Linked DNA regions of Nothobranchius furzeri. The protein of the gene in region 1 interacts with the protein of each later gene in a pairwise test. Links are inferred from orthologs where the notes say so. Each region holds a gene or a part of one and is shown in the gene's direction. Other genes may lie near its edges.

Region 1 (4,725 bases):
GGTGTTGCTACTCTGTTACGTAAAAAGGCTGAAGGCAACTTTCACCTCTGTCTCTAATTGTACTCTAAACTGTGCCTGGTCAGGCGTTTCAAATCCTGTTAATTTGTAAACCGTCTGAGTGGAATACAGAACACTATTTAATCATTTACTATGTAATGCTTGTCTCAGAGAATAGCTTTGTCTTTGAGAAACACTTCATTTACATTCAAGAATCCAACCATCCATATGATAATTCTGTTATAATAATAATAATAATGATAATAATGATGATGATGATAATCATTATTATTGTCCTCATCATCCCTGCAGTGCGGTGGTGAGGCAGAGTCTGATTGACTTGATGGACAGAGCTCTCAGTGAACCAGAGGTGAAGTCTGTGGTCATCTGTGGGCAGAATGGAAAATTCTGTGGAGGTATGAACATTAATAAGGCGATGCACCTATAAATATATTATTATTTAGAATATCTGATGATTTCTGAAAACATCAATGTGTTTTATTTTTGTATGACAGGCGCAGACATCAAGGAGTTCAGATCAGACATGACTGGGCCGCCCCTGGTACCAATGATTGATCGATTGGAGTTGTCATCCAAACCAGTGGTTGCAGCCATAGAGGGTGTCGCCCTAGGTGGAGGCCTCGAGTTAGCACTTGGCTGTCACTACCGTGTCGCACACTCTAAGGTTAGTTTACGCTGCAGAGATTCGGTCTGATGATTAGTTTGTGTCTAACATGACAGATTGTTTAAAGGGGACATATTACGTAAAACCCATGTTTTTTTGTGCTGCTATGTGGGTCTCTACTGCCTCTTTAAAAACTAAATTTAAACAAAAACACATCAATCCATTTTCTGTCAGTGTTTGGTTTTTGCAATTATGTGTCTAAAACAAGCCGTTTCAAAGCGTCTTCATTTGTGATGTCACAAATGGGGAAATTAGCATAGAACTACCTATCACATACAAGAGGGAGCTGCTGCTGGAGGAGCAGAGCTTCTCAGCTTATAGTAGCCATAGTGGGGGATGGGTGGGCGTGGCCAGCTTGTTTTCTTAAGCCCTTTTAACAAGGCACACTGTGCCGGCAAATAAGCGTAATATTAACGCAAGGGTGTGTCTATTAACGCGCATGCTGGTATAAGGATGTGCGATATCTGCGGCATTCATTCCGCCTCACTTGGTAGCCATATTGCAGTAATAGTCATATAAACGGCCATTGCACCTTGGCGCAACAGAGGGAGGTGTCATGATTACGTGGGGAGTTACTGCTGAGTTCCGGCCGGCAACTATAATGACAATGAAAGTAAAAACCTGCAAGTTTTGCATTTGTAAAGGGAATCAGCTGAGATAATAATCTGGAGCAATGCAGAGCTCCTGGAGCTTTTCTTCATTAGAGCTGGAGGTTAGATCACCGGAGACTGCACGGGGACTGTGGGGGACACACACCTTTAGGAGCAGCTTGTTAAAAAGACTCCAATGAGACACCTAACCCACCTTGCTTGCTAGTGGTGGTCGGAGGGGCCGGTGGCGCCAGTGTGTGACAGGCCTCGTCTCTGTCAGTGCGCCCCGGGCCAACTTTAGCTACATCGTAGCTCATCCCCACCAGCATGTGAATGTGTGTGTGAATGTCTGATTGTGTTGTGAAGCACCTTGGGGGGTTGTAAAATCCTAAGATGGGGCTATTCAAATACAGGCCATTTACCGTTACGGTCTAACCACTTGTAAAGTCTTAAAGCTCCCTGATGCCGATATGGCGTGGCAGCAAATTGGCAGCATTCTTTTGTAAAAGAGGCTACAAAGTGACAGAGCCATGAAACGGCTCATTCAGGAAGGCACTAAAAATGTCAAGAATACATCAGTAGAACTCGTTTTATGCGTGGAGAGTTTTTTATTCGACCATAGAATTGTTCCATCTTTAGATTAAAAAGTCTAATGTCTCCTTTAAGTCGTATGACAAAATTAGTCTTTGGAATTAATCACACATGAGTTTGGTGTTTTGCCTTTTTAGACCCGGTTAGGACTTCCAGAGGTGACTCTGGGTCTGCTGCCCGGTGCGGGGGGAACCCAGCGTCTGCCGAGGCTCGTTGGAATCCCAGCAGCCTTGGAGCTCATCACCACAGGTAAAAAAAAGAGAGGAACCTCGTGTTGCATATTTAGTTCTTACAATTGACTGGTAGTTAGGAGTAATACATTCTGGTCCAATCTTCTTAGAGACAATTAAATGTTTAGCAGAAGATCTTTTTCTTCTGGGTGGATCATCTGAATCATTGGTCCGCATAACTGTTACAGTTTTTCTCAATTGTTTACACACATTTTCTGAAAGCATGCCCCATATTTTCAGAACTCTACACACAAATCCAGAAAATACACACACACTTAACCTGCAAAAGTAAACTTCACATTCAAAACAATGTAATTTCTCCTCAAAATGTGATTATGTTGTCAAATGACACGCACAAACCATCATATAAATAGACATTTATAAGAACCAGCAGAACACTCGTGCTCAATGTTAAACACTATGATGAATGGAAAACACTTCTTCTCCATTCATCATAATGACTAAAGCCTTTTTGGTTCAGTGTTACACCTACAGACAGTAAAAACATGCATGTGTTGTTATTTCAGAATATTGTTGTTACACTCTGAACACACAAATACATGGTAGAAATGATTTTATTTTTCCCACAAAACATTGTACACAATGTTTATCCCATTCCCAACCAACACAAAGTTGCACACATAAACTACATCCAACAGAAATTTACTGTATACAGTTACAGTAAAACACTAAAGCTATGCTGCATCCTCTCTTCTGTTGCGGTCTGGCCACAGCGCCTCATCCACATCACAAGCAATGTTGTCCCTGGCCAAGCAGCGGGGGAAGTATCTCCTAGCATGGCGATTCCAGCCATGAAAAGAATCAGCTGCTATATCTCCACATGCGTCCTCCATAGCTTGGGGAAGAGGTATACGGGTTTGTGGCTGTCGGTCATACACCTTCCATCTCCATGCAGAAAACAATTCCTCAATGGGATTGAGGAATGGAGAATATGGAGGGAGGTAAACAACTAAAAAGCGTGGGTGGCCAGTGAACTAGTTACAGTATGAACCACAGCAGCCCGGTGGAAACTTACGTTGTCCCGAATGACAACGTACCTGGGCTGTTCTGGACCATCTACCTGGTCTGGTGGAATGAGGGTGTTGTGTAGGGTGTCCAGGAATGTGATCAGATGGGCGGAGTTGTAGGGGCCAAGGGTAGCATGGTGATGGATGATGCCATGGTAGCCAAGCGCTGCACACATTGTGATGTTCCCTCCGCGCTGGCCAGGGACTTCAACAATGGCACGCTGGCCAATGATATTCCTTCCCCTCTTTCGTCTTTCTGTGAGACTGAATCCAACCTCATCAATGAAGATGAACTGGTGCTCCCCTGCAGCTGCCTCTTGCTCAAGGACTCTCTGAAACACACATGACAATATCAGAAATAAACGTGGAGTGGTCACTAGTGTGAAGCACAGTCATTATGATTACTATATTGAAACATGTATAATTTACTGTACACAGTGTTGAGTGTATGCATCAATTGCGGGACTCACTTGTTGCACATAGTTATATCGCAATTCTTTCACTCTTTCTGAGTTTCCTTCAAATTGCACCCTGTTGACCTGTGGCTCGGATCTCAGAGATTACGGTCCTTGGTCTTCCTCTTCCTCACCCTCATCCTCCCCGTCCTCCTCTTAATCTCACTCCTCTGGCTCTGCCTCTGTTTCCAAAGTTGGCATCCATTGCTCCAACACAGAAGAGCTCACCTGTTGCCCTTTTATGCTAAAGTTCTGTTTGCTGATTGTAAAACTGTGTGACAGGTGTTTGCCCTTGTGATGAGTCAGTGTGCTCATTTGAATAGCAGTGTGTTCCTTGTGAGAACAAGCTAGTTCCTGTATGGAAATTGTGCCAACAGCAGAGAATTGTGTGTAGTGTTTTGAGAAAAGTGTGTTTTAAATTTGAAATTTGAGTGCAAAGCAGGAATTGTGCTTGTAGTTTCGCAAAATTGGTTAGGGGGGTTGGTTACTTGGTTACATGTTGTGGTAATTGTGTCTCAAGTACCAGAAAATGTGTGTAAACAATTGAGAAAAACTGTAATCCTTCTGGTGAAACATTCACGCAAGGCCGTCGTTGTAAGTGCTCCATAGACGCCTCTGTCGCCGGTTTCTGCTCGACGGTCCTTTTAAACTATTCTCCAAAGCAAAGGAGCCAAGGCAAAGAATAATCAGCTGAAATGTTCTCTGACTGCACCTGAAGGTTGTTTTTGCCACAAAAGGAGCTTCCAATTAAGTTAACTCAAGGACTTCAAATTATTTTTTCCTCCTTTGAAGGTCTATATTTTATTTTAAGGTGTTAAAGGTTCAATGATTTGCTTGTTGTTAGTTTATTTGTGGCTTTAGTTGTTATTTAACTGATTGGACCAGATGTTATAAGGAACTACTGCAGAAATGTAGCAGCTGTTCCACAGACAACCAGCAGGTGGCAGCATTTGTTTAGTTTTAGGTCTTTTAATTGGGATTTACTGCTTAGTTCTAAAGATGATGATTATTTATTATCGGAATTGATCTTAATACACCCTTTTAAATAATCATTACTTCTGGACCTTTAGATCATATTCTGTTTGATACTTACTAGTCTTAAAGTAACTTTTGTTGAATTAGAAGATCTGAATGACTCATATTTATTTT
Region 2 (5,469 bases), on another chromosome or scaffold:
ACCATTATGGACCAATCACAGCTCTTAATATGTTTGAAACTCCTCTAGAGAGCTGTGATTGGCTAGCCAGAGTCCTGGTAGGAGCTGCTGAGGTTCCAATGGAGCATGCCTAGACCATTCTTTGCAATGCAAGAATTTGGTCTAGTTCACTAGGCTATGAACAGGTGAGTATTCAGCTGCTTTTTAAAGGAGACCACTGAGTCTACTGGTCTCAGTTCCAGAGTCTGGGGGCCACAGCAGCAGATGATCTGTCACCTTTGACCTTTAGCCTGGTGCTGCACAACCTGTAGGGTTTGGTCACTGGACCTCAGGGACCTGCTTGGGGTGTAGGGACTAAGAAGATCACCAATGTAAGATGGTGCTTGTCCATGTAAGGCCCTATAGACCAGAACCAGGATCTTGAAATGAACCCTGAAGTTAAGCGGCAGGCAGGCTACCATAGTTTGTACCTTCCTGTTACCCTGGCTAGCCATCCTATATATGTGGATATGTCGGTTGACCATGACCCATAGACAGAGCTCAGTCGTGGGGTGAAAGCTATTGTTGCCTTTCAAACTGCCTCTGCATTCTACTGGACAACAAACAAAGTGACTCTCACTGCTACGGATGTCAGTCAACAAGGTAGTCCACCATACTCTGTCGAAGAAGACACACATATGTCTTTTTTCTAAATGAAGGACTTAAGTACCTCTGTCTGTTCTTGACTCAAAGAAGAAGCCATCTAAATAGTCCAAAGTTGAGGCCAAAACCATTTCAAATGATCTGCCTCTGTCTTAGCTTTTCTGCTCTATCGCAATAACATCCCACCCACCAAACTGATAGAGCGCTGTGATTGGTCAGGCCTGCTAAGGCTCCAGTACAGTGTGGCTAGACCAACCTGCAGAGCAAAATAATTTTGCTTCTGCTACTGTCTGTCTAGATTTCTATGCCTCCTTCCTGCTGCATCAAACATTTGTTTTTCTTATTCATTTATCTGTAACTAGTTAACTGATGCTTAAAAACACAACGACTGTGTTCAGGAGAGATGGCCAGAATTTCAGCCCCACATCACCAGTGTACACAGTCTGGATCCAAAAGTATGGCATGGTGTCACCTGCTCCTGGGGAATCCTGGATTCAATTTTTAATCATGATGATCTATCTTTATTTACATTTATACTTCTGCTTTACCATTTATGTTTGTATTTTTCTGCCGTATCCTCATCCGTGGTACTATTATCTTTTTCAGCGTTCATAAAACTTGACTAAATCCAGCAGCTGATTTTTCCAGACCAGGAAACTAGAAAAGAAATGACGCATCAGATCCAAAACATTAGTTATTGTTGTTGGTGTGTGTGTGTGTGTGTGTGTGTGTGTGTGTGTGTGTGTGTGTGTGTGTGTGTGTGTGTGTGTGTGTGTGTGTGTGTGTGTGTGTTGTACCTACAGGTATTTAGAAATCATTTTATACAAACAAGGCTTAATTCATTTCAATGGAACTTTCACAATACAATAAAGAAATGTAAGTTTTGTGGCCAGCAGGATTTTCTGTGTGTCTGTTTGTCCTCAGCGACCAAAGTCTGGACATCAGAGACCTAGAAAAATTAATTATCTGCATTTACTCATTAATTTATTGAACTATTCACGTTTTTTATCACCAAAGGAAATACAGTGGGCTTTGTTTTTGTTTTGTGGAGCTCGCACTTCACGTTTCATCCACCAGATGGCGGAAGTGAGTCAACCCCGCTGTTTAGCTCCAACGAAGAAGAGCTCTCAGGGGGTGGGAAGCCCGCCGTTGCCTGATGAATTAAAACGTTTCGCTGAACGGAGACACATTTCCCTCTTTTAACCTTTTTCTCTCAAGATTTATTGAGTTCGCTTCAGTCGACCACTTTTACCAGGATGACTCAGCAAGGCGCCGCTCTCCAGGCCTACAACAACGAACTTGTCAAGTGTAAGTGACTCGTTTGAAGGATTAAATACTTTATTTCTTGATTTAAACTCATAAAATGTTCGGAAAATAGATAAAGTTGCTTCAGCTCTAGAATTTAATTACATTTTAACCAAACGCCACATTTAAATGTATGTAAAAAGTATCTAAATTTAACACTATGTGTGTAATTTAGTGTTTTAATCTGGTTTGTTGTTTTTTACATGTCTGCTTTAATCTGGACCACCATCAGATTAACCCACATGAAAGCTGAGCTTTATTAAAGCCATATGATTAAAAAATACTGCTTATAGCTGCGTTTCTTTAATATCCTCATTTAACCCTAAAACAACTAAAAATAGCAGCATAGCGGAACTAATGTGCTTTAAACGTTCCTACCCGGTGGTTAATCCGTGCGGCCTTCCTGCGGCAGTTTTTTAAACTTTCTGACTGGTTTACACAGTTTTCTTGTTCTGGGGAGCCATCAGAAATGTTAGATTGATGTTTTAGTTGAATAAAGTAAAGCTAAGCTCGTGTTTTTGGATCAGAGCCACTTCAGGTGTAATAAAGCTTTCATTTTCCTGTCAGGTATCGAGGAGCTGTGCTCAAAGCAAGAGGAACTAAACCGACAGATCCGTCAAGAGGAAGATGAGAAGGAACGTCTGGAGCACGACATCCGTGTTCTGTCTGAGAAACTGAGCCGGGTCAACGAGAGCCTGGCACGAAGACTCTCAGCGCGTACGACACTGGACCGCACCATCGCTGAGACAGAAGCTGCCTACGCCAAGGTGTGTCCTGGTTCCGTCTACATCAGGGCTCTCCGGCTCTGCTCCCATAGGACTCTGATCCAAGATGTTTCAGTTGTTTTCGTGCTCCACCACACCTGATTCCATGGTTTACTCACCTGTTCGGCAGCTCATGAGGCCCTACAGAAGCCTCCTGATTAAAACCTGATGTGTTGAAGCAGAGAAACAAATCAAATCGGCTGTACGGTGGCCCTGGAGGACCACGGCTGGACATTATTAACCTGAACCTGATGAGGTTTTGTAAAAGTTTTTGTTAAAAATGAGAGGAGCGTAGCTTTGATTTACCAGAATAATTCCAAATCCCAACAAGTCAACGAGCTTAATAGTGTAGAAGGGAGATAAATTCAACTGTTTCGTCACGATTACCAGGATAAAACGTGTTGTCATGGCAACGTGGGGTTAAAACAAGGCTAGCCCCATCGAGCGATGATTCCACGTGACTTAGAGGAACATTTCAGACATTTGTTTCGTTGTCTTACTGTAGATGGCCTTCTGCCAGGCTGCTGTTCGGAGGGATAGACGAGCTAACGGCTAGTCTGAGACAAATTCACAGGGTGCAAGCTGTCTTAAAGCAGTCACGTCAGTTCCCGTGGTGTTCTGTTTTACCCTTTAAGTGCCAAATTCCTCTGATAATATTCCAGGAAATTTATCCTCTCGTGCAGGAGTGGGCAACTCCCTTCCCAGATGGCTGGTACCCAGCCTGTTTTTGTTGTTTCCCTGCTCCGACACACTCGAGTCACCTGCTCAGCAACTCATCAGGCTCTGCAGAAGCCTCTTAATCACCTACTGAATAAAGTCTGGTGTGTTGAAGCAGGGAGCTGATTAAAACATGCTGGATACCGGCCCTCGGAAAAAGGAGTTTGTCCCCTCGCTCTTGTTTAAGGTTTTATAAAATAATGCCACATGAACCGCTCTGGAAGTTTAGAGCAGGTCTAAGAAGAAAGAGTTTTTATGTGGATAAAATCACAAGAAAATCAGGAAAATGACTCAAAAAGGTAAGTGAAGTAAACGCGAGAGTCCGAAAGATGCAGATTTAGTAGAAACACCAGCCTGAACATCGTCTAGATCCTTGGGTCTGGTGTTTAATCCCGTAACCGTGTTTTAGCGTCTGTCAGATAAATCAGGCGGATCAGACCAGATTAGGCCACCGCTGAAGGTTCGTCGTGTTTCTGTGTTGTTGCTGAACTCCGCCTTAAACGAGTGAAAACACACTCCTGCTCTGCTCTAATTATAAAACAACAAGGACACCCGCAGCCCTTCTCTCCTCCTCATCTCAGCGTGAACGTGTTTTACTGTTGATTTTTTATCCTTTTTACAGATTTTAGAAAGTTCCCAATCACTTCTGAGCGTTCTGAAGCAGGAAGCAGGAAACCTCAGCAAGGTCACGGAGCCTCAGAGGAGGGATCATTAACGGCGAGGCGACGTCGGCAACCACAGAAAGACGTTTTTGCACATTTAAGGACTCTTTTGTACCGCTTCTAATGTTTTTTTCTTTCTCCAACATAATAAATGTATTTAACTCTCGTTTGGTGACAGAATAATAAATAAGTCGCTGACTCGTTTGTTCAGGTTGTCGGTTTATTCAGCTTTTCTTTGTACAAGTATGACATCATCTTTTTAATTTGCCCCAGTTACTGACAGTTTACAGGTAAGCACATCAGCTGATGGAGATCTACAGACATGGGGGAGGGGGGGGGGGGGGGGAACGATGGATGAGGTGGAGTTTCTACCACAGAGTCCAACATAAACACAGAAGGTCCAGGTTCTGGTTCTGCTGAAGTTCTTGCTGGTGTCAGAAAAAACAATCAGTGGATTTTTGTGATTGGGGGGGGGGGGGTTTACATGACCACGAGCGAGTCACCACAGCAGGTCCAGATAACACCACAGCTACTAAAACCTTCACATCGCTGCTGATAAATCAGACACTTCAAGTAACGATTGATTTTCATTCTGATCATCGATAAGGCCGAACGTTTCATCGCGCTGGCAGCAAACGCTCCGCCTTTTTATGACCGAGGCACTGAAGTCCAGATGTTTGAGTCGAACTGGAGCTCAGAGATACTTCCTGCTGGGTCTTCATGTCAGAAATGTGTCTGCTTGACTTTTAAAGGCAGAACGATCATAAAAGCAGATAAAGACTCAGCATTATTAATCAAAACCACCTTAATTCATTACGTTTGGCTGCTGGAAGGAAAATATGAAGAAACGAGGGATGATTAAAAACTGCTTGATCCGTAAATAAAAGCAAGTGATGCAAAACTAATGAAAAGAAAAGATTTCCTATTTCTGGAAAAGTGTCGAATAAAAATGTTTTTCTCTCTTCTAAAACAAAAAGAAAAGTTCTATATAAATAAATGACTTATGTGTAATTTCTTGTAACTTTTTTTACTGAAATTTAACAGAAACATTAAAAAGTGATTAAGTGATCAAACATTTCCCCTAGATTTACAGAGAACACCCATAGCTATGTGGGCTGAACGGTTAACGTCTCACCTGCTGTACATAACACTCTGAATGGCCTCAGCTGGGAGAAACAGATTCGTTCTGATGGCATGGACGAGCACCGACACGGCCAAGTCTCTTAAATAAACAGTTTATTCTAAAAATGTTCACAGCAGTTTAGACAGTTGCTGTTGTGCTACAGAAATTCTGCCAGATTAAGGATGATCCCGCCAGAAGTGCTGCACTAGCTAGCTCGTGGGCTAATTTCACCTGCAAATAAAAGCAATAAAAACCAGCAATAACATATATGGATGTT
Region 3 (5,413 bases), on another chromosome or scaffold:
TATGGGGCGACGGTGGCACAGGAGCTAAGTGCTCGCCCCGTAATCGGAAGGTTGCAGGTTCGAGTACCGCTCAGTCTGTCGCTGTCGTTGTGTCCTTGGGCAAGACACTTAACCCACGTTGCCTGCTGGTGGTGGTCGGAGGGACCGGTGGCGCCAGTGCTCGGCAGCCTCGCCTCTGTCAGTGCACCCCAGGGCAGCTGTGGCTACATCTTAGCTCATCCCCAGCAGTGTGTGAATGTGTGTGTGAATGGGTGAATGACTGATTGTGTTGTAAAGTGCCTTGGGGGGTTCCAGGACTCTAGAAGGCGCTATATCAAATACAGGCCATTTATGTTGAGTGTCACAGCTATTGGTCACAAGTGGTGTTAATAATAATAATAAATTGCTTAAAGCAATTTACTTAACCAAACATACCATTTATTAACATTACAGGTGTGTAATCTGGATTTTATAAATGTAATTTTTACAAATATAATCTTGGTAACCGCACACGGTGACCCCAGGTTGGGAACCACGGCTGTTTCCAAAAAGCTTCTTCATAAACTCGATGTCATTTATCACTCAGCAATCCATTTGGTCACTGGTGCCCCTTTCACTACTCATCACTGTGATCTGTAGACACTCGTTAACTGGCCATCGCTCCATTCCTGCAGGCTGTTACATCGGCATCAGTTCATATGCAAAACAATCATCAGTAGAAACCGTGATATCTTCGCTCATTACCAGGGGTGGACTGGCCTATCTGGCATTCTGGTACTGTCCCGGTGGGCCGCTTAGCCAAGTGGGCTGCTTGCCCAGCTTGGGCTGACACTACACAGTTGGTGATCTGTAGAACATACATGGTAACCCGAAGCTAACAGAGTTTTTCCAGGCATTTTTAGAAAAAAAAAACCCAGTAGAGCGATGACGTAGGAGTTGTTTTACAGCGTTAGCATGTAGCTAATGTCCCGCTGATCTCCGCCTGTGGAGAATGAGCTGATCCGGAAGGCCAGGGCTCCCGGTCGCGGCGGACTGGCCCTGCTTGTAATTTAACAGTCCCAGTCCATATTAGAGCTCACATTCGGCTTAGAGACGAGTCCGCAGGCAGCCACACCCCTAACCCCCACCGCTCTCCCAATGGGGAGGGCCGGCAATTCGTAAGAATGCCAGGGCCGAATTTTGGTCCCAGTCCACCCCTGCTCATTACTCCACTTCCAACAACCAGCGCAATTTACGTTCCAGTAGCTTCATCTCTAAAGTTATTCCCAAAGCTCGCACCTCCTCTGGCCGCTCCTCATTCCAGTTTGCTGCTTCCAACGACTGGAATGCGCTGCAAAAAAATCACTGAAGTTCACACGATCCATTATCTACCTTCAATAATTCATGGGGATCAATAGTTTCTGATCAATGTGCTTCTGAGTACTTAAAGACAGTTTTAAATCTGTTTCGACTGATTTTACACATTATATATGAGAACAATCCTAACTGTTTTATCAGAATTTTATCTCACCTGTTTTGTCTGTGGTGTAAAGCTAACTGCTGCTGCTTCCTCTTGGCCAGATCGTCGTTGTAAAGGAGAATGAGTTTTCAATCCACTCATCCATTTAAATAAAGGTTAAAATTTAAAAAATGTAGGTGATTAATGTGGTTTAATTCATTTGTTCAGTAGCAAGAAAACTCCTCTTGCCACTGCACGCTCAGTTCCACATGGGGGCAATCATGTCAAGTGACTGGGTTTTAGTTTCCTGCTGTCATGGGGCCGCTGAGATATATAGATCTATTTGTCTTTTTACTCACTTCACAGCCTTTCAGTTATTTTGTCAACTTCCCAGCATGTCTTAATTTGTCCAAACCAGCTGCTTGGTGCTGTTGGACATGTGGCGGACTGAAGAAAAGTCTCTCCAGCAGCCGGAAAGGGCTGGGCTGGGGAGCCTCTCATTACTAAAGGTTAGATCTGTCACATCACACATGCACATAAAGCTCTAATGAGCAGCTGGAGTGACAGTTCAGGGGACTCCTTTTGCTAAAGCCCTCTGATCCTCCCTTTGGGATGCAGCACTTCCTGCGGTCTAAAGGAAGAGCATCTTTGTTCAGATTACACACTAAACCTTAAAGGGGGAAGAAACAGCTTTTGTGTTGCTTTTTCCCAGAGGAGCGATGCACGTCCAAAGGCTTCATCCTTAGATGCACCAAACAGAAGTGTTTAAGTCATAATTCAGATGCTACTGGGTACAGGATGGATGCGGGTGCTTCTGGGGTGGATGCTGTGATGTAAGAGGAGGTGGGGGTGGGAGCGCCTCTCTCTCCCCCATAGAGCGCAGCATGAGCGCTCCGCAGCAAAAGGATGTGTGAGCAGGCAGCGCGCTACTGTAGGGACGGAGTCCACAAACTGCTGAACAAAGAACAAGCCAAACTTCGAGCCCAGGAGAGCCGAGAGCAGCCGAACCCCGTAGCCGGTCAGGACAGCGAGTCCGCGACGGCAGCGCAGTCCGGAAACAGCGGCGCCCAGCCCGGTGGAATCGACGGGCTCGTCCGCTGGATCGTCACCAAAATGAGCGACAACAAGAACGTCTCCAGCCGGGAGTACGCCTCCAGCAAGGAGGAGGTGGCCGTGGCCCAGGAGCAGTTCTTCGCCCCCGAGCCGCGGAGAGGCATCTCGGTGATTCTGGATGTGAGTATGAGGCACCGGGAGGCGGCCAGCCCCGCCAGGAGCGGGTGGGTGCATGGAGACATCCAGGGAGCGGTGCGCACTTACGCACAGACAGTTTAGGTGTCCGGGATCAAACCGGCGTCCCTCTCCTCTGCATCTGCACCATATCAGAAAATTCAAACTTTGCACGTTTTAACTGTCAGTCCACATAAATCCTGAGGCTCTCCAACTGCGCTGCAGACATGTTCCTGTGTTAACCTTCAGAGTGATAACTGCGTGCCTGTAGCATTTCTGGTGTTCAGGTCAGCCCAGTTTTATTTTACTGTGCTTTAAAACGAGTTGATCTCAGTAGAAAAAAAGAAAAGAAACGTAGAAACACGTTGTGTAGACCTCCCCCCCCCCCCCCCAACTTGTTATAAATTAAGATTTTTCAAACGTTTTTTTTTCTTTTTTCCTCTCTATCATACCATACCACTTTATTTGTAGAACGCTCTTAACACGGCACTACAACCGACCAAAGCGCTGGACATAAAGACAAATAAATAAAAAACAAGCTAAAATAGTCGTGCATATCATAAGAAGTAAAAAGGATAAGAGTTAAAGAACAACAAACTAAAGCCAATAAAACAAGTAAAACCAGAATATAAAAACACAAATTTTAACTACCTGGCAGCTAAAACTGTTTCCAGCTGAGTCTCTGACACCAGCCTTTGAACTTTTTCTGACATTTTCTTCTTTCTGCATAACTTTGACCTTTCAAACGTGAATTTTCTGGCCCCTTTCCAGCATATCTGACCCCAATATTCTTACTTTACACCAAATGGGCTTCCTGGTGTGTCCCTGAATGCAGCATTTCCCTCATTAGACCGACTTGTTCTCCTTCTCTGAGTCTACCGTGAACCCATTTATTATTCCGTCTCCTCTCTTCCAACAGAAGCATATTCCTAAGGTGAAGGCATGCCTCCTCTTTGTGTCTTTCTCTTTAGTCGTGTTTTTTTTGTCTCTTTCTGTTGTAACTCTTCACCATCACCTCCTCCTCCTCCTCAGTGAGACTCTTTCCCTCCTTCCCAAGCTTCCCTGACTCCAGCAGCTCCAGCTCTGTTCTGAGAAGCTGAACATGGCCCAGGGTGCAGATGCAGAGCAGCTTTTCAATTGGAGTGCGGCTCTTTCAGCTCCTGTTGCCCTTTATTTAAGAGTTTAGTCACAAAAATGTCTTGATGAGTTTCTGTGCAATAATTTAGCTGACTAAACTAAAAAAAAAAGTTTTTGGGTCGTCACGATCTGTTTGCCCATTAACTTCTGACTTTGGTCACTACTGTTAACATTCATCTTATTCAGAAGATCATGTCTTTGAAAAGCACATTTTTTTTTAGATTTCCTGTAATCTGACTAATCCAACCAGACCAAATTCAAAATATGTGACTAAAGATCACATCCTCTCGTTTTATTCTACAAATATCTTCTTTAATATTGTTTTAAAATGCATCTCATGATCACTCAGCACGTCTTGTCCTGCCGGTGGCTCGTGTGTCACTCATCCTCAACCTCCATGATGAAAGTATTCTAAAACGTTGAAGGTCCTCGGAGGGGGGAGCTTTCCCTAAAATGATTCAGATTCACTCCCAGCTTGTTCAGCTGCAGCTGTGGTTGGTTCGGTTTGGTGTGGTAAGCTAACTCCGGTCCAGCTGTGTGGGATTCAGTCTGATCCGTTACCAGTTATTCACCAGCTGGTTTCTGTTTTCCCAGCATGACTCTTCTGTCAGCTGGAAGGAGGTTTATGACACAAACATTCACTATTTTATAGGTTTCCCTCCTTAAACTCCTGAAAACGGGAATCTATGGGTTCCATAGAGGTTTTTATTTTTAATTTTCTGCTTAAATTATTTCTTGGAGGCAAGAATAATAAGTAGTTTCCACTGGTGAGAAACAACATTATTTTAGTGACCCAAACAAGAAAGAAGAAACCCCAAAAGTAAGCCCTGAGGGACACCTTGAAAAACAATTACACTAAAGCTAATTTAAATTATTAATAAATGTTTAAAGAAATTACAGATTTGTGAAATAATCCAGTGTTTAGGTGTTAACATTTATTAGATGAGGCTGTTTTCAGACACACAATGCTTCAATTTAACTCTTTAGGCTTGAAATATGAAAAACTAACGATTGAAAATACTGAGTTTAAAACTAAATAAAACAATAAGATATGGTGTTACTTTAAGAAATACAACAAGATTAAGAAATAGTGCTTGATGTGTCTCAGGTTAGGACTTCATACCTGGTGGGTTACTGGTTCAAACTGGTTTGATCAAGTACTTTTGTGAATAAAAATTCATATTTCTGTACTAAGTTGTTGCAGAAAATCTATAGGAACTCACACAAACTGGATAATCAGATGCTGAGAGGTTTTTGGAACGTTGTTGAAAGGTTCGCTCCGTTCTTTAGTCCGGAAACATTCTTGTTTAGCAGATGATACGCTACTGTACTTACAAAAGAGAACTCTCAAAATAATTGGTTTTATTAACCATCTTGGTTTATTTGCACATTTTATTTAGTATTTAGAACCTAAATGTAAATGTGAAATAAACATTTCCCAAACATAAGTTGTGTTTAGAGAAATGCTTTCTGTTTGTCACTAAAATGTCCTTCTTTCTGTCGTTCACAGATCTTCAGAAGAGCCGACAAAGATGGTGAGTGATGTTCTGGACTGCTGGCTTCCTGTAGCCTGGCCAGCCATGCCAACGTTTCCTTATGTAGAACAGACGGGCCAGGCTAGGTTTCCCAAGA
Region 4 (4,725 bases), about 27 Mb from region 1:
ACTCCCTGAGCATCTTTAATCTGCTCTAATTACAAAACCTAGACCCTTCAAATCTGGACCAGATTATTCTGCAGTAATAGCAGAATACTTAGACGGTTGTTGTTTTATTTATTTATATTTTTAACCTTTAATATGTGAACGATCAAATATTTGAGCACTTTTTGCATCTAGACCAGGGGGTGCCCAATCCTGGTCCAGTAGGTTTTGTGGTTTTTCTGCTCAAACACACTGGTTGAGTCACCTGTGCAGCATCTCATCAGGCTCTGCAGAAGCCTGTTAATCACCTGCTGATTGAAATCAGGTGTGCTGAAGGAGAGTTAAAACTAAAACGAGCTGGATACCGGCGCTCGAGGACCAGGATTGGGCACTCCTGGTCTAGACCACATTAGAACTGGTCCAGCTCCAAAACCACAACACCTAGATGACTAGATGTTTTAGATTTAGCCAAATGAATGATAGAAAAAAATAATTCCATTGAGGTTCCATTATTGATAGTTAATTATATATATACTGTTTGTGATAAACTCAGGTGTTTTTGTTTACGCCCCTCTCCTTTGGACGTGTCCAAACTAGGGTTGCAACGATTATAAATGTTGGTGATTTGATTATAGTCAGAGAAATAGTCAGTTTCACGATTATTTTACATGAACTGATTTCACATCTGTAAATAAAGCACACACATTCTATAAATAACAGATAAAAGGCACGATTAGATTCTTTAAAGGTTTTGAATCCCTGAAATATTGTTTTCGGAGATTTTGCTTAGGAAAATTCACTCTACCACTGACTGCTTGCTCTGCAACATTGATGTTTTATCTCCACAAATAACACAAGCCTGGAGGAGTTCTGCTGTGTGGTGGAGTAGCTAATGCTAATGGTTAGCTTCTACTAGCAGAGACGTTCTCTGCGGTTTTCCTGGACGCTAAACCAACAACAGGCTTCCCCGTCGTGACTCAAGATGGGTCAGTCCATGAATGTTAGTGACAGTGTGACGTAGATCTGTCAGGCTTTTCTAATCCTAGAGTTTCACAGTCTGTTTTCTATCAGAAGCTAATGCAGGAGATAGGTGTAGGAGACTATTTTCATGTTCAGCCTGCATGAAAAACTCTATCAGAAATAATCAGTAAAATTTACTTCAGTGAACCACACCTTTAATTATATTTGCCTAATAGCCTTTTTGAGTTTCTGTAAAAAGACAAAAAAGTTTAACTGTTGACAGCTGGTCAGGTTTAGCACTGAAGGATGGAGACACCTTCATGAGTTAAGATGCTAAAGTCCTACTAGTGCAGTTGTTATTATGAATATTGCTTATTAATTATTGTAATCTCTACTTGTTCATATCTTCTAGTGTCATCAGTAAGAATATTATTTGGACAGGATAAATTATGTTATTATGTTGCACAGGAAGTACAGAGGTGTTGATTAAATATTAAAATGGCTTGTCATAGGGCTTGCTGTAGACAGATACAGGGGAAACGTAGAACAACACAATATGAACCGTCGTTCACAGTCATTGTTCTAATATTACGGTATATCCGTTCAGTCGCTTACATAATCGGACTCAGTTGGAGCTCATTTCAGGGCTGCCAATTCTCACGTATTGAGCATGAGACGCACGCCTCTTCACACGCTCTCACGCCACACCTCCAATATCTCACGCTGATTAATTTGCTGTGTTGGAGACGTCTTTATGGTGGGTTAACCGCACCGTTTCACACCGTGGTTAATAGTCGAACCGGTTAATCATTGCAACCCTAGTGTCTGTCTGTCCTCTCTGACTTTATCTCTACAACCTCTAACAAGAGCTGTCCTTCAGATGGACTCAGTCCTGATCCTATCCTTGTCACTCCCAAAGAGAACCTCCAGTTCTGTGTCCTGTCCTGTCCTCATGGACACTGTCTCTAAACCAGACATCACTGCTCTCACTACGGTCTTCTACACCTGAAATCCTTTTCTCCACCCAATGCTTCACACACTTTTTCCCCTCTATTCCACTCTGTCCGTTGCTTGTTTGGACCATGGACCCTAATTACTTATTGCAGAACGATGGAAGCATTCTTTGGGGGAAACGAACATCTCTTATCCTCCTTCACCAGATCTACCACCACCATTCCATCATTCGACTAATCCTCCATATCCTCAGACTTGTAGCAGACTGGGTGGGGTAGAGTCTGTAGTACAACATCTTAAAGGGACGTGAACGTCACACACCTTCACACTTTTCATTTTTTAAAGAACACTGAATATACTGGCATGGGCACGATAACCTTGGTCATAGTCATACATTTCTGTTTGGTTACATTTTGGGTTTATCGCCACTAACAGCATTCATCATTATTCCTAGACTCATCAGCCTTCTTCTTCTTTAGGATGACTCCTACTCAGCTTCTCACTTTCCCCGGCCACCATAAAAGAATTAGTTGACTGCCCACCTCATATTTGGAGGGCTGCAAGTTTGAGCCTCACTCAGTCTTTCTCAGTTGTTGTGTCCTTGGTTATGACACTTCATCAGCCTTGCCTGCTGTTGGTGGTCGGTGGCGCCTGTGCTCATCAGCCTCACGTCTTTCAGTGCACCTCAGGGCAGCTGTGGCTACATTGTAGCTCATCACCACCGGGATGTGAATGTGTGTGTTAATAAATAAGTGACTGGTTGTGTTAAGTGCCTTTAGGGGTTGTAGGACCCTTGAAGGAGCTTTACAAACACAGGCAATTTATCGTAGGTGTCGAGCCTTGCTACCATCTGAACACGGTATGTGTCGCAGATGGTTAGTGCTGATATAAAAGTGTTTGTTTTCATTTTGTCTTTACACAGGGTCGGCTCTTCTCCTATCCTGACACACATCGACACCGGCTGGGAGCAAATTACCTGCAGCTCCCAGTCAACTGTCCATACAGGGCTCGTGTAGCCAACTACCAACGGGATGGCCCAATGTGCATCACTGACAACCAAGGTCAGTCATGGTTTTCTCTCGTTTCTAGGGTTCAGATGGACACCAGGGGCCTCATTTATCAAGCTTGCTTGCGCACAAAACGGGGTCTGAAAACTGCGTAAGCAACTTTCCACGCAAACTTTGGGATTTATGAAAGAAAACGTAGCAGAAAAATGTGCAACTTTAAGCTGACTAAGGACCTGGCTTACACACATGTTGGACATGGAGAGCACCTGCAGTGCTGCTGCTGAGAAGGATACAATTATGAAATCATGCAGCATTATCACTTGTACTCTTCGTTTTCACACAGAACAAGACCACACACACACACACACACACACACACACACACGCAGGCGCACGCAAACACACACACAGCCTGAAGCGCAGAATACGGACAGGGGGACGGATTGAGACAGAATGTCATGCGTCTGTGACAGTGTGTGTCCTGTCACTGTGACCCGATTGATCACCCTGGCTACTTGTACAGGGGAGATCTGTTTGGCTGACTGGTTAGCGCGCGTGACTGTCACCCGGGAGTCTGGGGATCCGCCACAGATCTCTTTGAAGAACTCAGCATTAACGGCTTCAGCAACGCTGTGCCACTTCATGGATTTTCTCTTATTTGTTTTGCAAAAGCACTTCCTTTCATTTCTCCACCTCATCCACAAGTACCTCAATTTCTGCTTCTGTGAAATGGCGCTTCCTTGATCTGCCTTGATCTACGGTTGCCATTGGTGGAGCGCTGCAACAGCCGGCTTATGTATATGCATGAGATCCACAAGGCACTTTGCATTGATTATTTATGGCAGTAAGTGGGCGTGGTGAGGGAGGGATGTGACTAAAATGCAGCTGAGAAACGGTCTAGATAGTTTCTGATTTATGAAGCGGAGATTGCGTGCAGCTGTGTGTACTCCATGTTTGATAGATCACAAACCTACTTGGTGTAAGTACTTTTTTTTTTTTTTTTTGCGCTGAGCTTAAGTACGGGTTTAGTAAGGATTGATAAATGAGACCCCTGGTGTTTTTTTGTTTGCTTGTTTCAGAACGTTTTTGTTAGTCTTAAGGCCTAGTCCACACGTAGCCGTTTAAAAAAAGAAAATGAATATCCGCCCCTCCAAAAACTTGCATCCACACCACCTCGTTTAAAAAAAAAACTGTCCACACGTACCCGGATAAATACGTTGTTAAGGACATGCCAGACCTGTAGGTGGCAGTACTTCCCCCGTTCTTAACCTCGTCCTTCGTCTGTGGTCTTCCGCAAGGAGCAGTAATTCCGCTTGCAAAAACAAACAAGCAAAAAGCGCTTGGACAATTGATGGATCGGGTAGTGACAGAGCGCAGCTCTGAAGGCTTCCATGCTGTCGGCTAGTGTAAACACAGGTCGCACACGTGATGTCAGCATTTTTTTGTCGCGGAAAGTGACGTTGCAGACCTTAAAACTCCGGTTTTGTCCGTCCACACGCAGACACCCAAAACGGAGAAAACGCAGATCTTCACTTTGGTCGGAGTTTTTAAAAAGATCCGTTTTCGTGTGGATGACAGGCCAAAACGTAGAAAAGTATCTACGTTTTGGCAGATCCCCGGCTACATGTGGACAGGGCCTAATTCAGATGTGACGTGTCCTCTTGTGAGCATTTGAAGGGTCTTGGTCAAAATTCACCCATGCAGTCCCGTAGAGGTCAGCTGGACCTGGTAAATGTACCAGATGTAAACCAGGAGTCTTCAACCCTCACAAGCTACCAGTAGCTTGCAACGCACTTAAAGGTCACTCACCTGGAAGTAGCCAGCAAGTC
Region 5 (4,543 bases), on another chromosome or scaffold:
ATTAGATGTTGTTAAATCGGTGATAAATAGGTGGATTCAGACTCTGAGTGAGGTTGAAGAATCAAATGAAGAAAGAGAGAATCCTATTTGGTTGGTGTTTGTGTTGTCTCTTCCTTACTGTGTGTTATTTTGACCACCAGGGGCAGGCCTCTGCAAAACGACAAGGAAAATATCAAAAGGTACTGGATGAGCTAGAAACACTGAACAACAGAGCGCCCACTGCTCTCTTTCTGTCAGGAAATAGCTTATTATAATACACCTGCATTTATGTCCAAGCATGTCAGTATTTCTGTTCTGAAATAAGCAAATAGTCGTTTTTATGCATTAGCTTTGTATTTCTGGTGGTCGACACAATTATTAATATTACTATTTTAAATCTGTAGCACTGGATTATAAAATGTACTTTTCCTAGCTGATCTGAGCAGAAAAAAACAGTGAGAGTTTGGTGTTTTAAATTATGACAGCGGGAGGGAGACGAGAAGCATTTGAGATGCTGGATTTGGATGTCCTGTTTTTACAAAAAATACTTTATTGATCAAATTTTTTTTGGTTTGTGTGTGTCTGTACAGGATATTGTTCCAGTTACCTACCACTTAATTCCTGCTCCTAATAAATCAAAGAACGGGGGTAAGGAGAAGGACAAGGATGGAGACAAAGAGAAGGAAGTGAAGGATGAGTTTGCTGAGGCCATGAGAGATTTAAAGATTCAGTGGATGACAAAGTGAGCACTGTTTTTGTCAGGTTTAATTTGGAGACCGACCGATGTCAATTTTTAAAGAATTTTGTGGCCGATGGCCAATATCTAAAGCCAGTTATTAAGTCTGATATATAAAGCAGCACATTGATTGTGGAAAACAACTGAACACTCACTCTGTGCAATGTAAATGAAATAAGTAAATAAATCTCTTAATATTTATTATACTTCAAATGTAAAGCAAACGCAAAACATTAACAAACATTATTAACCCTGTTTCAGAACGACAGAAAATAAAACGGATTCAAGTTTTTTTCTTGTGTTTAAAATAAAGAGAATCAAACGGTACCCAGAATAATGGTGCAAAATAGTGGCTGGCCCGGGTAGAATATTCAAGTAAAAAAACCACAAAGTAAAGCACACTACCACACTGTAGTAAAAAAATAAATCTCAACTATACATAAAAATAGTGCAAACATTAGACACCAAACTTAGAGATATTTCACTCAGAAGCTGCGTCTGTTGTTAGAGTTCCCAGAGCTAGATAAGTGAGAAAGGATTTCTAGCATAGAGCTTTCCTTTTTACTTACATTGTTTTATGCTAAGCTAAAGCAAAACTTACTGCTTCCAGATCAGGAGAATGACTGAGCTTGCTAGCTACAAAATCCTTTTTCTTGCGTATCTAACTCTGGGAAATCTAATATACACAATTTTACTTAAGCTGGGCGGACACTGTGCGACTTTTTCACTCGTAGCACTCAGCTTCAGCTCAAACTGTACGACTTCCTCGCAGGGCAGATCTCAGGAGTCGTGTGCTCACACTGCACGACCCAGTTCTTGGATGCGACCTGACAGCTCACACTGTACGTCTGGTAGCAACACGTCGGACCTAAAAATATGCTAAAAATAGCAGTTTTTACACATCATACTTTTTTGTCTTGTTTTGCCTGTTGTCCTTCGGGAGTGCTGCAGGGACACACACACAGGGATTTTTGGGGGTTGGATGAGGAAAACGAAATAAAGAAAGTAAATCTGTGTTTTGTGATCAGTCTAATTTAACATGAACACGACAAACATGCTTTCTTGACAATCTTTGTGAGTAAAAAACGTGTAGAAATAAAAATGAACAACGTGTGTTATTAGGGAAATAGCGGGCGAGCGGTGTTGATGCATTATTGCACATGCGCCGTGAGCAGTTCTGGTACTTTTTGGGTCGCAGCTGCTCGCAGCGCCGCTTCAACAGTGCGATACCCTCACGAGGGACGAGCAAAATATCAAACACACCAGAAGTCCGTGCGAGCTCACGACTGCTGTTCGGTAGCTGGTCATGTGGTGTTAATCGCCTCTCGTAACCCCCTGTACACTACACGACGCTCGGTGCAAAACTCGCCCCGATCTTGTGGATTCTCGCACGAGTGGAAAATCGGCTCAAAAAAGTGAAAAAGTCGCACAGTGTACGCCCGGCTTTAGGGGTGGAATATTCCCTTTGGTGTAAACAATGAAAAAGGCACCTGATTTAAATAAAAAAAGAATTTTTATCAGCTTTCAAAAATAATTTTGGCCGATATAGGAAAAAATTGAATACATCGGTCGGCCTCTAGTTTTAATTCTCCACCCTTTCAGGTTGGAAACCAGCGCCATCTATGATGAACTGATTGAAAACTACTCAGATTACCTTCCACTGCACGTGCAAAGGCTGCATCAGCTGGACTTAGAAAAGGTACGTAACCTAACCCTACCCGACAAAGAAGAGCACATTCTCAGAAATGCTTTTATTTGTGTAAAATCTAAACCGTTCAACCATCTTTGCTGACAGTTGTCTCTTTTTTTGTGTTAAGGAACGAGGGAAGCGTCTGGCGGAGGTGGTGTCTGCAGCAGACATTGTAATCTCCCACATCGACCAAACCGCCTTGGCTGTTTACCTCAGCATGAAAACAGATCCTCGACCCGAGGCCGCTTCTATCAAGACGTATGTTAAAGACGTGTTTAATGTTTCTGGGATTCGGCACCATTATTGCAAACCTCAAGTATCTAACGCTGATTCTTACATATCTCATGTAGCAATCAGTTTATGGGTCAAGAAATAATGTAGGATTAACTGCCAGCAGAAGTGTGAACAAGCCTCTGTGTTTCAGGGACATGGAGAAGCAGAAGTCATCTCTGTTGGACGCACTGTGTAGGAAAGGCTGCGCCCTGGCAGATCAGCTCCTGGTGCCCTCTGCAACGCAGGACGGCGCTGGTGCTGGTCAGGCAGCATCAGGTGAGGCTGCAGAGCAGCAGGTGGCCAGCAGCTCTGAAGACACCCTTCTAAACGTGACGAAGGCCTTGACTGATACGTTTTGGGAGGTGCAGAAGTGGGCAGAGCTAACGGACTCCAAGGTGATGAAAGTACTTTAGACATCAAAACAATGACTTACTCTTTTGGGAATGTGTTTCATAAATGTATTAAAGTAGACAGATGCTGCGTAATTATTCAGATTTTCTTTTCTTTCTTTTTTTAAATAAAAGTTTTAAAAACAAAAATGCTTTTGCTGTGAGATGTTTGTGATTCATTCAGTTTTATTATATGTTGACAAACTTCGTTCATGTTTTTTCATCGTTTAGGTTTTGATGTTTTCATACAAACACGCCCTGGTGAACAAGATGTACGGCCGAGCTTTAAAATACGCCTCTAAAATGGTCGAGGAGAAGCCGAGCAGAGAGAACATGAAGAACTGCATCCAGGTACCAGAGCCGTCACCGTCAGCTTATCGGCTCTTTTCTAGATGCTTCTGGTAAAATAACTTTACGCTTTGTTTTTCAGCTCATGCGTCATCTCGGATGGACACATTGTGCCACCTTCAGTGAGAACTGGCTTCCCATCATGTACCCTGCTGACTTTACACCATTTTAGGCACAAACACCCACCCGCATGAGCACGGCAGCCATAAACGTCCCAATAATTCTGACATCACAACCTCCAGGTCACATGTTCAGTGCATCTGACCAACCAGCTGCCTCCCGAGATGTTGTCTGGTTTTTTTAAAGGCAGACGTTAATAAACCCCAAACTAAAAAGTAAACAATTTGAGGCTTTCAAAGCTTTTTTGAGATGTTATGAAGTCAATTGAACCAGAACGTAACCTTTAAAAAATTCCACCAACTTACATTTATCTACAAATCTTCCTCGGCTTTCAGGACAATTTGTCATTTCGACCTTTTTTTTGTGTAAATAGTGTAAAAACTGATAGTGTGGACGTCAGGGCTGCATCAGAAGTCTTTCCACACAGCCTGTGACCCTGAGCCTGGCTGTGTTAATGCTTTAGTAAGAAGAGAGAAGGACTTGATCTACAAGACCAAACAGACTCTTTCTGATATTTAAAAAAAAAGGCTTGGACAGATACTTTTTGTTTTTTTCAGCCAAGTTTAGGGTGTATGTTTAGCCTTCAAACACAAAAACAGTCTCAAGGTGCCTTTCTTTGTGTACCTTTTCTGATTAAATGAAAATGAGAGGGAAGCTGCACAGATCTTAGCCTCCGTCCACACGTGGGTCATCTTCATCCGCATCTAAGAGTCGAACATACAAGCTGTAACACTCCGCAGCATGATTTTATCATTATTTTTTCTGGTTGCTACAGTAAAACCACACTCTACCCGACCTCAGTAACATAATGCAGCGGTGGGCCACCACAGGACATTCGGAGCAGATCACATGTTTTAATGTTCACACAGTGATATAAAGAACTTACCAGTGTAGCATTCAGCGTGCTGCATGTGTACACAGTGTCATAAGAATAATGTAAACACACACACAACACACAATATTAAGATGCAATAGTTGTATACTACAGATGTAATCTTAATCGATGTA
Region 6 (5,210 bases), on another chromosome or scaffold:
TTTTACTTTTTATTCTGTACAGCACTTTGGTCGGCTGCCATGCCGTTTTTAAATGTGCTTTATAAATAAAGATGGTATGGTATGGTATGGTATGAGTGTAAATGAGAGGGACACAAGTGGAAGGGTGATGTTACAGAGAGTAGAAGTAAAGAAGGTAGAGGACTTTAGGTACTTAGGGCACGGGCCTACTGTCCATAGCAACAGAGAGTGTAAAAAAGAGGTGAAGAAGTGTATGAAGCAGGTTGGAGAAAAGTGTCAGGTGAGATGTGTGTTGAAAGGATTTCAGCAAGAATGAAAGGAAAAATGTTGAAGACAGTAGTGAGAGTGGCCATGTTGTCTTGTTTAGAGGCCATGTCCATGAGGAGACCAAGACAGGTAGTATGACTCTCCCTAGACTGAGCTGGCCGATTTGATGTGTGGTTTGTGTGGGTCCACTCCTCCGTTCTGTCATTAAGGAGAATATTAAAGCAAGAGACCACTTCAGGTGTGAATGTGATGTCTGCCCGTTTACGTGGCAGCCCTTTGCTCATCTGTGAATTAGTAAAAAGGTGAAAAGAAAATAATATGAATGAAAAATTAAAAGGTTAATCATTTTATAGTTTAAACCTGTGAATTTTTATTCAGATTCTTCAAGGGCTGGTTGATGTTCGACAACCTCATAACTCATTCTACGAAGAAGGTTAGTTCACAGTGCTCTGAATAATGTACGCCACAACACAATAAAGATAATATTTAACTAACAGAAATATTCTTTCATCAGTGTTTATGGAGATTATTGGTGAAAAATCAAGGTATGCCTTGCAGGAACACTTGCATCTCATAACTACCCCTTTGCAAGTAATATGGGGAAAACAAGATCAGGTAAGTGATTTAAAAATAACACAATGACCCACATAAAAACATAGATAACTGCTTGGTGTTTCACAGAAATTATGAGATTCTAATAAATGCATAGGATTTAGATGCTAACATGAAGTAATTCATGTCAGATGGATAAAATAATTATTGTTTCAAATGTGTCTAGGTCGTGGACGTCTCTGGAGCCAATGTTATTGCAGAGTGGGTGGCTGGATGCAGAGTGGACCTGCTGGATAACTGTGGGCACTCTGTGGTGATGGAAAAGCCATGTCGCACAGCCAAACTTCTCCTGGAGTTTATCATCTTGCAGCAAAATTCTGGGAGCGGCACAAAGAAGTGTTCTTGAATCTTAAATCACATCCTGTTTTGATGCCGTTTCTTGCGTGTGTTCAGTCACACACCACTTCTAATTGCACATTAAAACTGAAATAAAGAATGAAGTGTCCAAACATTGCTTGAGTTACATTTCTATGTAAAGTGGATTGGGATAATACACATATATGGATTTGCTTCCATTATTGTGTCTTCGTGTTCATGTTTTTAATGAATAATAGACAACACAGTAGGCAAATATTCAACATAAATATATTAGATTGATTCTAGTGTTAGTCAATACTTAATGCCACTGTCTAATGGTCTCAAAATGCAGGATGTTCACCTGAATGGGCATTTGAAGGACTGCCTCTTGTGAATATTTGCATGTTTAATAGTTTTGCAGGAGCCTGTAGTCGGCTGGGCCCCTCCTCTGTACCATGTAAGCCCGTTCCGCTCTCTGTGGATGTGTGCTTTTGCATGCTAGGAGGCTGCAGCAAGACCTCTTCCTCCTTGTCCTTCATCCTCCTTGTGGACAGTGTTTCTGCAGCCTGAAGCCGACCACAGCTGCTACGGTACGACCCACATTCACTGACTTTTAAATGCTGACCACAGCCCACTCTTATTGGACCCAAAACACAAAAGCTAACACCAAAGAAACCCGGTCATGTTCTGCTCTTATCCGCAGATAGCCTAAAGGAAATCCTGTTGATAGCCGCAGTTGTTTATGTATCGCTAGTTGTGTTAGCTTGCTAACTAGCAGCCTAGCTAGGCTAACAATCATTACGCTAACCATTACTCACTTTTACTAACGCTTCAGATAAAGCAGCATAAAATACTATTTAAACTGTAACACAATTCACTTTAAAATACACTTTGTTGCTTGAGAGATGTACTTGTGTATTTCGTCGCCTTTCGTTTAAGTATTAGCAATCAGGATGTCAGTTTAAGCTATAAATTAAAGCGGTGTGGTGGGCTTTTCCTCTTTCCCCGTACAGGTGTTGCTGTAGAAGTAACAGAACCTCTCGATTATAAAATTCAAACCCTGGTTGTTGAAATTACGTTTGAGATAACACTTCTTTCATAGTGATAAAGACGAGGGCAGTGCAAATGCAGATGTTCCCTCTTTTGTTATATTTGACCTTGTTTGGTCACAACAGTGCTGCAGAGGAACCGCTAACATTCAGACCATTTTATTTCAGGGTATTTCCTGTAAAGAGCATCAGCATTTTTCATATTCCTTTTCTCTAAGTGTTTGTGCTGCTGTAGCAAGTGAATTTCCCCACGGCGAGATTAATAAAGTCTGTTCTAGTCTATTATAGATGACTAGGAGGACTACATTTATAAGTATCACATGGGATAATCTGATAAATATGTTTGGGACACATAAAAATCCACAGTGAGTAGTAATCTGGTTTTCCGTTTCTTCAGACATATGCATGTGTTGTTTATGTTTGATATACTGTTGAAGTTCTCTCTGATTAACAACCAAACATTTTACGTAAGATTTACTGCAGCTGATCAATCAGCTACTCTACAATGTTGTTCATAAAATCTAACATACGTACAGAGAAGTGTGTGCAAAATTAAGTTAATCTGTAGTAATGTGGCTGTTTTCTTCCACAGATAAATGTAAAGTGTGCAGATTGTCATCTGTTCCTTCTGTTTTGTTTCTGACCAAGTCGGTATTCTTCCACAAATGGATAATGGAGACTGGGGCCATAAGGTATGTTATGGTTGTGGTTAGAAATGAAGACTCAATGTTAATAATGTTCTTCTTCCTGATAATCAGTCAATCAAGGTTATTAGTTCAGTGCTTTTCAAGTCATGGCAACCCAAAGTGCTGTAGAACAATAATGCATAAAAGGATGTCCACAGCGAAATTAATAACAACAAAAGATGTTGAGGAAAAAATAAAACTCATCAATGATAAAAAAAATAATGAAATCATGTGTACTTTTATTTAGATTACAATAATTTAATATACTGGGAGAACTTGGAAGATTGGAATACTGTGCAAAAGTATATTTATTTCAGTAATCCAACTAAGACTGAGAGACCATCTAAAGACTCAGGAACCCTTTGCAGATGTTCTGGATCCAATAGCTGATTAGAGTGTGACACTTTGATTTTACTTAACCTTTTCACAATCTTCTAATGTTTGAATTTGGGGTTTTCATAAGCTGTACGCCCTAATCATCACATTTATAACAAATAAAGGCTTGAAACATCTGGCTTTGCATATAATGAGTTAGGGCTGGGCAACAAATCGAAAATGTATCGTTATCAAAATTTCTGACTCATATCGAGATAATTTTTCCCATGTCAATAAATTTGATAATAAATAAATGAAAAGATGTGTGTAGGTTGGCAACGTTCATGTCCCTTTAAGAAGCTGTACCACCTTGTCACTAAAAATGTGTCCCAATGTAATACACGTGACACAGCCCCATCTAGTGGACAACTTTTGTTTCTCCGCATACCTGTAGTTATTCATTTATCGTTATCGAGTTGAAATCCTCAATTTATCATGATATTGACTTTAGGCTATATCGCCCAGCCCTATAATGAGTCTATCTTGTATATTAGTTTCACCTTTTAAGTTCAGTTAGTGAAATAAAATAACTTTTGCACCACATTTAAATCTTCTGAGTTTCTCCTGTAAATCTGTTTTGAACAATATATTTTTATTCTTGAAGAACTACAAATTATTAATATTATTTCTCACTTTTGCAACAATTTTCCTTTAGATGACCACTCCTGTTACCTTGAATGTGGGAGGCCACCTGTACACCACTAGTCTGTCCACCTTGCAGCGTTATCCAGACTCTATGCTTGGTGCCATGTTCAGGGGTGATTTTCCCACAACTCGTGATTCCCAAGGGAATTATTTCATTGATCGAGACGGGACACTTTTCCGGTACATCCTTAACTTCCTGCGAACATCGGAGCTTACCCTTCCTGTGGATTTCACAGAGACAGACCTGCTGAGGAAGGAGGCAGACTTCTACCAGATCGAACCTTTGATCCAGTGCCTTAATGATCCCAAACCGCTGTACCCTCCCGACATCTTTGAGGAAGTCGTGGAGCTCTCTAGCACTCGGAAACTGTCTAAATACTCAAACCCAGTTGCGGTGATCATCACACAGCTAACTATTACGACCAAAGTTCACGCGCTGCTTGAAGGAATTTCAAACAATTTCACCAAGTGGAACAAACACATGATGGACACCAGGGACTGTCAGGTATCGTTTACCTTTGGACCGTGTGACTATCATCAAGAGGTGTCTTTAAGGGTTCATCTCATGGACTACATCATGAAACAGGGCTTCACTATCCGGAACACGCGTGTGCATCACATGAGTGAGCGTGCAAACGAAAACACAGTTGAGCATCACTGGACTTTTTGTAGACCAGCTCACAAAGTTGAAGACTGATATCTGCTGGAGTTACCATTTCACTACACAAATAATTATAAAACAAAGCTCAAAATCAAGACAGCAAAAAAAAAAGCTAATTCTTGATTTATTTTCCAAACTTAACACAGTTGTTTGTGATATTGGAAATTTTGGGGCAAATGGATGAGATTTGAGACAGTAATGCTGTAAAATCATAATTTCATTTATTCTGATGACTTACCACTTACCCCCCCAAAAATATGACTGTTGTTTATAGGAAGTCATTTAAAAGAAAACAGTGGGATTGTTAAATACCCCCTTTTTGAAAATTAATGCCTGCATATATGCTCTCACATCTTAATATGAAATTCAAACCTACAGGAATGTTTTTACATGATTAGTATAACTTATCTTTGATCCTGTAGATTTCTGATGAGAAAATTTAGTGTCCTAGATCTCCTCTTAGCTCCCTGTATGGTACTAATTGAGAAGCCCCTTAGAGTTGTTGCATGTGTCTTGTGTAAGTATATTTTATGTATCTGTTGTGTGATTTCTAATACTGTGTCATGAGGTCATTTCAGCTATGGTGCGTTTGGTCATCCCAGTTAAATTAAACCCTCATCTGTGTATTTCATCTCATGC

The links.
Region 2: the proteins of ehhadh (region 1) and ssna1 interact in binary tests that used the Homo sapiens proteins (3 or more experiments, as listed by UniProt). The two-hybrid records come from large-scale screens. The link is inferred for Nothobranchius furzeri from reciprocal best matches to the Homo sapiens genes EHHADH and SSNA1.
Region 3: the proteins of ehhadh (region 1) and necab2 interact in binary tests that used the Homo sapiens proteins (3 or more experiments, as listed by UniProt). The two-hybrid records come from large-scale screens. The link is inferred for Nothobranchius furzeri from reciprocal best matches to the Homo sapiens genes EHHADH and NECAB2.
Region 4: the proteins of ehhadh (region 1) and cat interact in a two-hybrid assay, tested with the Homo sapiens proteins (2 studies listed by BioGRID, with this or other methods). The link is inferred for Nothobranchius furzeri from reciprocal best matches to the Homo sapiens genes EHHADH and CAT.
Region 5: the proteins of ehhadh (region 1) and tpp2 interact in binary tests that used the Homo sapiens proteins (3 or more experiments, as listed by UniProt). The two-hybrid records come from large-scale screens. The link is inferred for Nothobranchius furzeri from reciprocal best matches to the Homo sapiens genes EHHADH and TPP2.
Region 6: the proteins of ehhadh (region 1) and kctd6b interact in binary tests that used the Homo sapiens proteins (3 or more experiments, as listed by UniProt). The two-hybrid records come from large-scale screens. The link is inferred for Nothobranchius furzeri from reciprocal best matches to the Homo sapiens genes EHHADH and KCTD6.

Annotation. Positions count from the first base shown.
Region 1 is NC_091754.1:18,043,951-18,048,675, reverse strand, and holds part of ehhadh (peroxisomal bifunctional enzyme), read left to right. Parts: intron 1-309; coding exon 310-413; intron 414-512; coding exon 513-682; intron 683-2,000; coding exon 2,001-2,112; intron 2,113-4,725. UniProt on the Homo sapiens protein: Peroxisomal trifunctional enzyme possessing 2-enoyl-CoA hydratase, 3-hydroxyacyl-CoA dehydrogenase, and delta 3, delta 2-enoyl-CoA isomerase activities. Catalyzes two of the four reactions of the long chain fatty acids peroxisomal beta-oxidation pathway.
Region 2 is NC_091746.1:74,033,532-74,039,000, reverse strand, and holds ssna1 (microtubule nucleation factor SSNA1), read left to right. Parts: upstream 1-1,742; 5' UTR 1,743-1,877; coding exon 1,878-1,929; intron 1,930-2,493; coding exon 2,494-2,693; intron 2,694-4,029; coding exon 4,030-4,122; 3' UTR 4,123-4,267; downstream 4,268-5,469. UniProt on the Homo sapiens protein: Microtubule-binding protein which stabilizes dynamic microtubules by slowing growth and shrinkage at both plus and minus ends and serves as a sensor of microtubule damage, protecting microtubules from the microtubule-severing enzyme SPAST.
Region 3 is NC_091744.1:83,491,354-83,496,766, reverse strand, and holds the start of necab2 (N-terminal EF-hand calcium-binding protein 2), read left to right. Parts: upstream 1-2,205; 5' UTR 2,206-2,323; coding exon 2,324-2,650; intron 2,651-5,291; coding exon 5,292-5,316; intron 5,317-5,413. UniProt on the Homo sapiens protein: May act as a signaling scaffold protein that senses intracellular calcium.
Region 4 is NC_091754.1:44,626,987-44,631,711, forward strand, and holds part of cat (catalase), read left to right. Parts: intron 1-2,812; coding exon 2,813-2,951; intron 2,952-4,725. UniProt on the Homo sapiens protein: Catalyzes the degradation of hydrogen peroxide (H(2)O(2)) generated by peroxisomal oxidases to water and oxygen, thereby protecting cells from the toxic effects of hydrogen peroxide.
Region 5 is NC_091749.1:36,617,704-36,622,246, reverse strand, and holds the end of tpp2 (tripeptidyl-peptidase 2), read left to right. Parts: intron 1-140; coding exon 141-179; intron 180-569; coding exon 570-721; intron 722-2,317; coding exon 2,318-2,414; intron 2,415-2,532; coding exon 2,533-2,663; intron 2,664-2,829; coding exon 2,830-3,073; intron 3,074-3,298; coding exon 3,299-3,418; intron 3,419-3,497; coding exon 3,498-3,587; 3' UTR 3,588-3,714; downstream 3,715-4,543. UniProt on the Homo sapiens protein: Cytosolic tripeptidyl-peptidase that releases N-terminal tripeptides from polypeptides and is a component of the proteolytic cascade acting downstream of the 26S proteasome in the ubiquitin-proteasome pathway.
Region 6 is NC_091755.1:58,704,081-58,709,290, reverse strand, and holds the start of kctd6b (BTB/POZ domain-containing protein KCTD6), read left to right. Parts: upstream 1-1,616; 5' UTR 1,617-1,745; intron 1,746-2,431; exon of another isoform or gene 2,432-2,569; intron 2,570-2,796; 5' UTR 2,797-2,869; coding exon 2,870-2,896; intron 2,897-3,920; coding exon 3,921-4,607; 3' UTR 4,608-5,210. Other genes in the region: monoacylglycerol lipase ABHD6b, read left to right, coding at 625-679, 761-861, 1,025-1,204. UniProt on the Homo sapiens protein: Probable substrate-specific adapter of a BCR (BTB-CUL3-RBX1) E3 ubiquitin-protein ligase complex mediating the ubiquitination and subsequent proteasomal degradation of target proteins.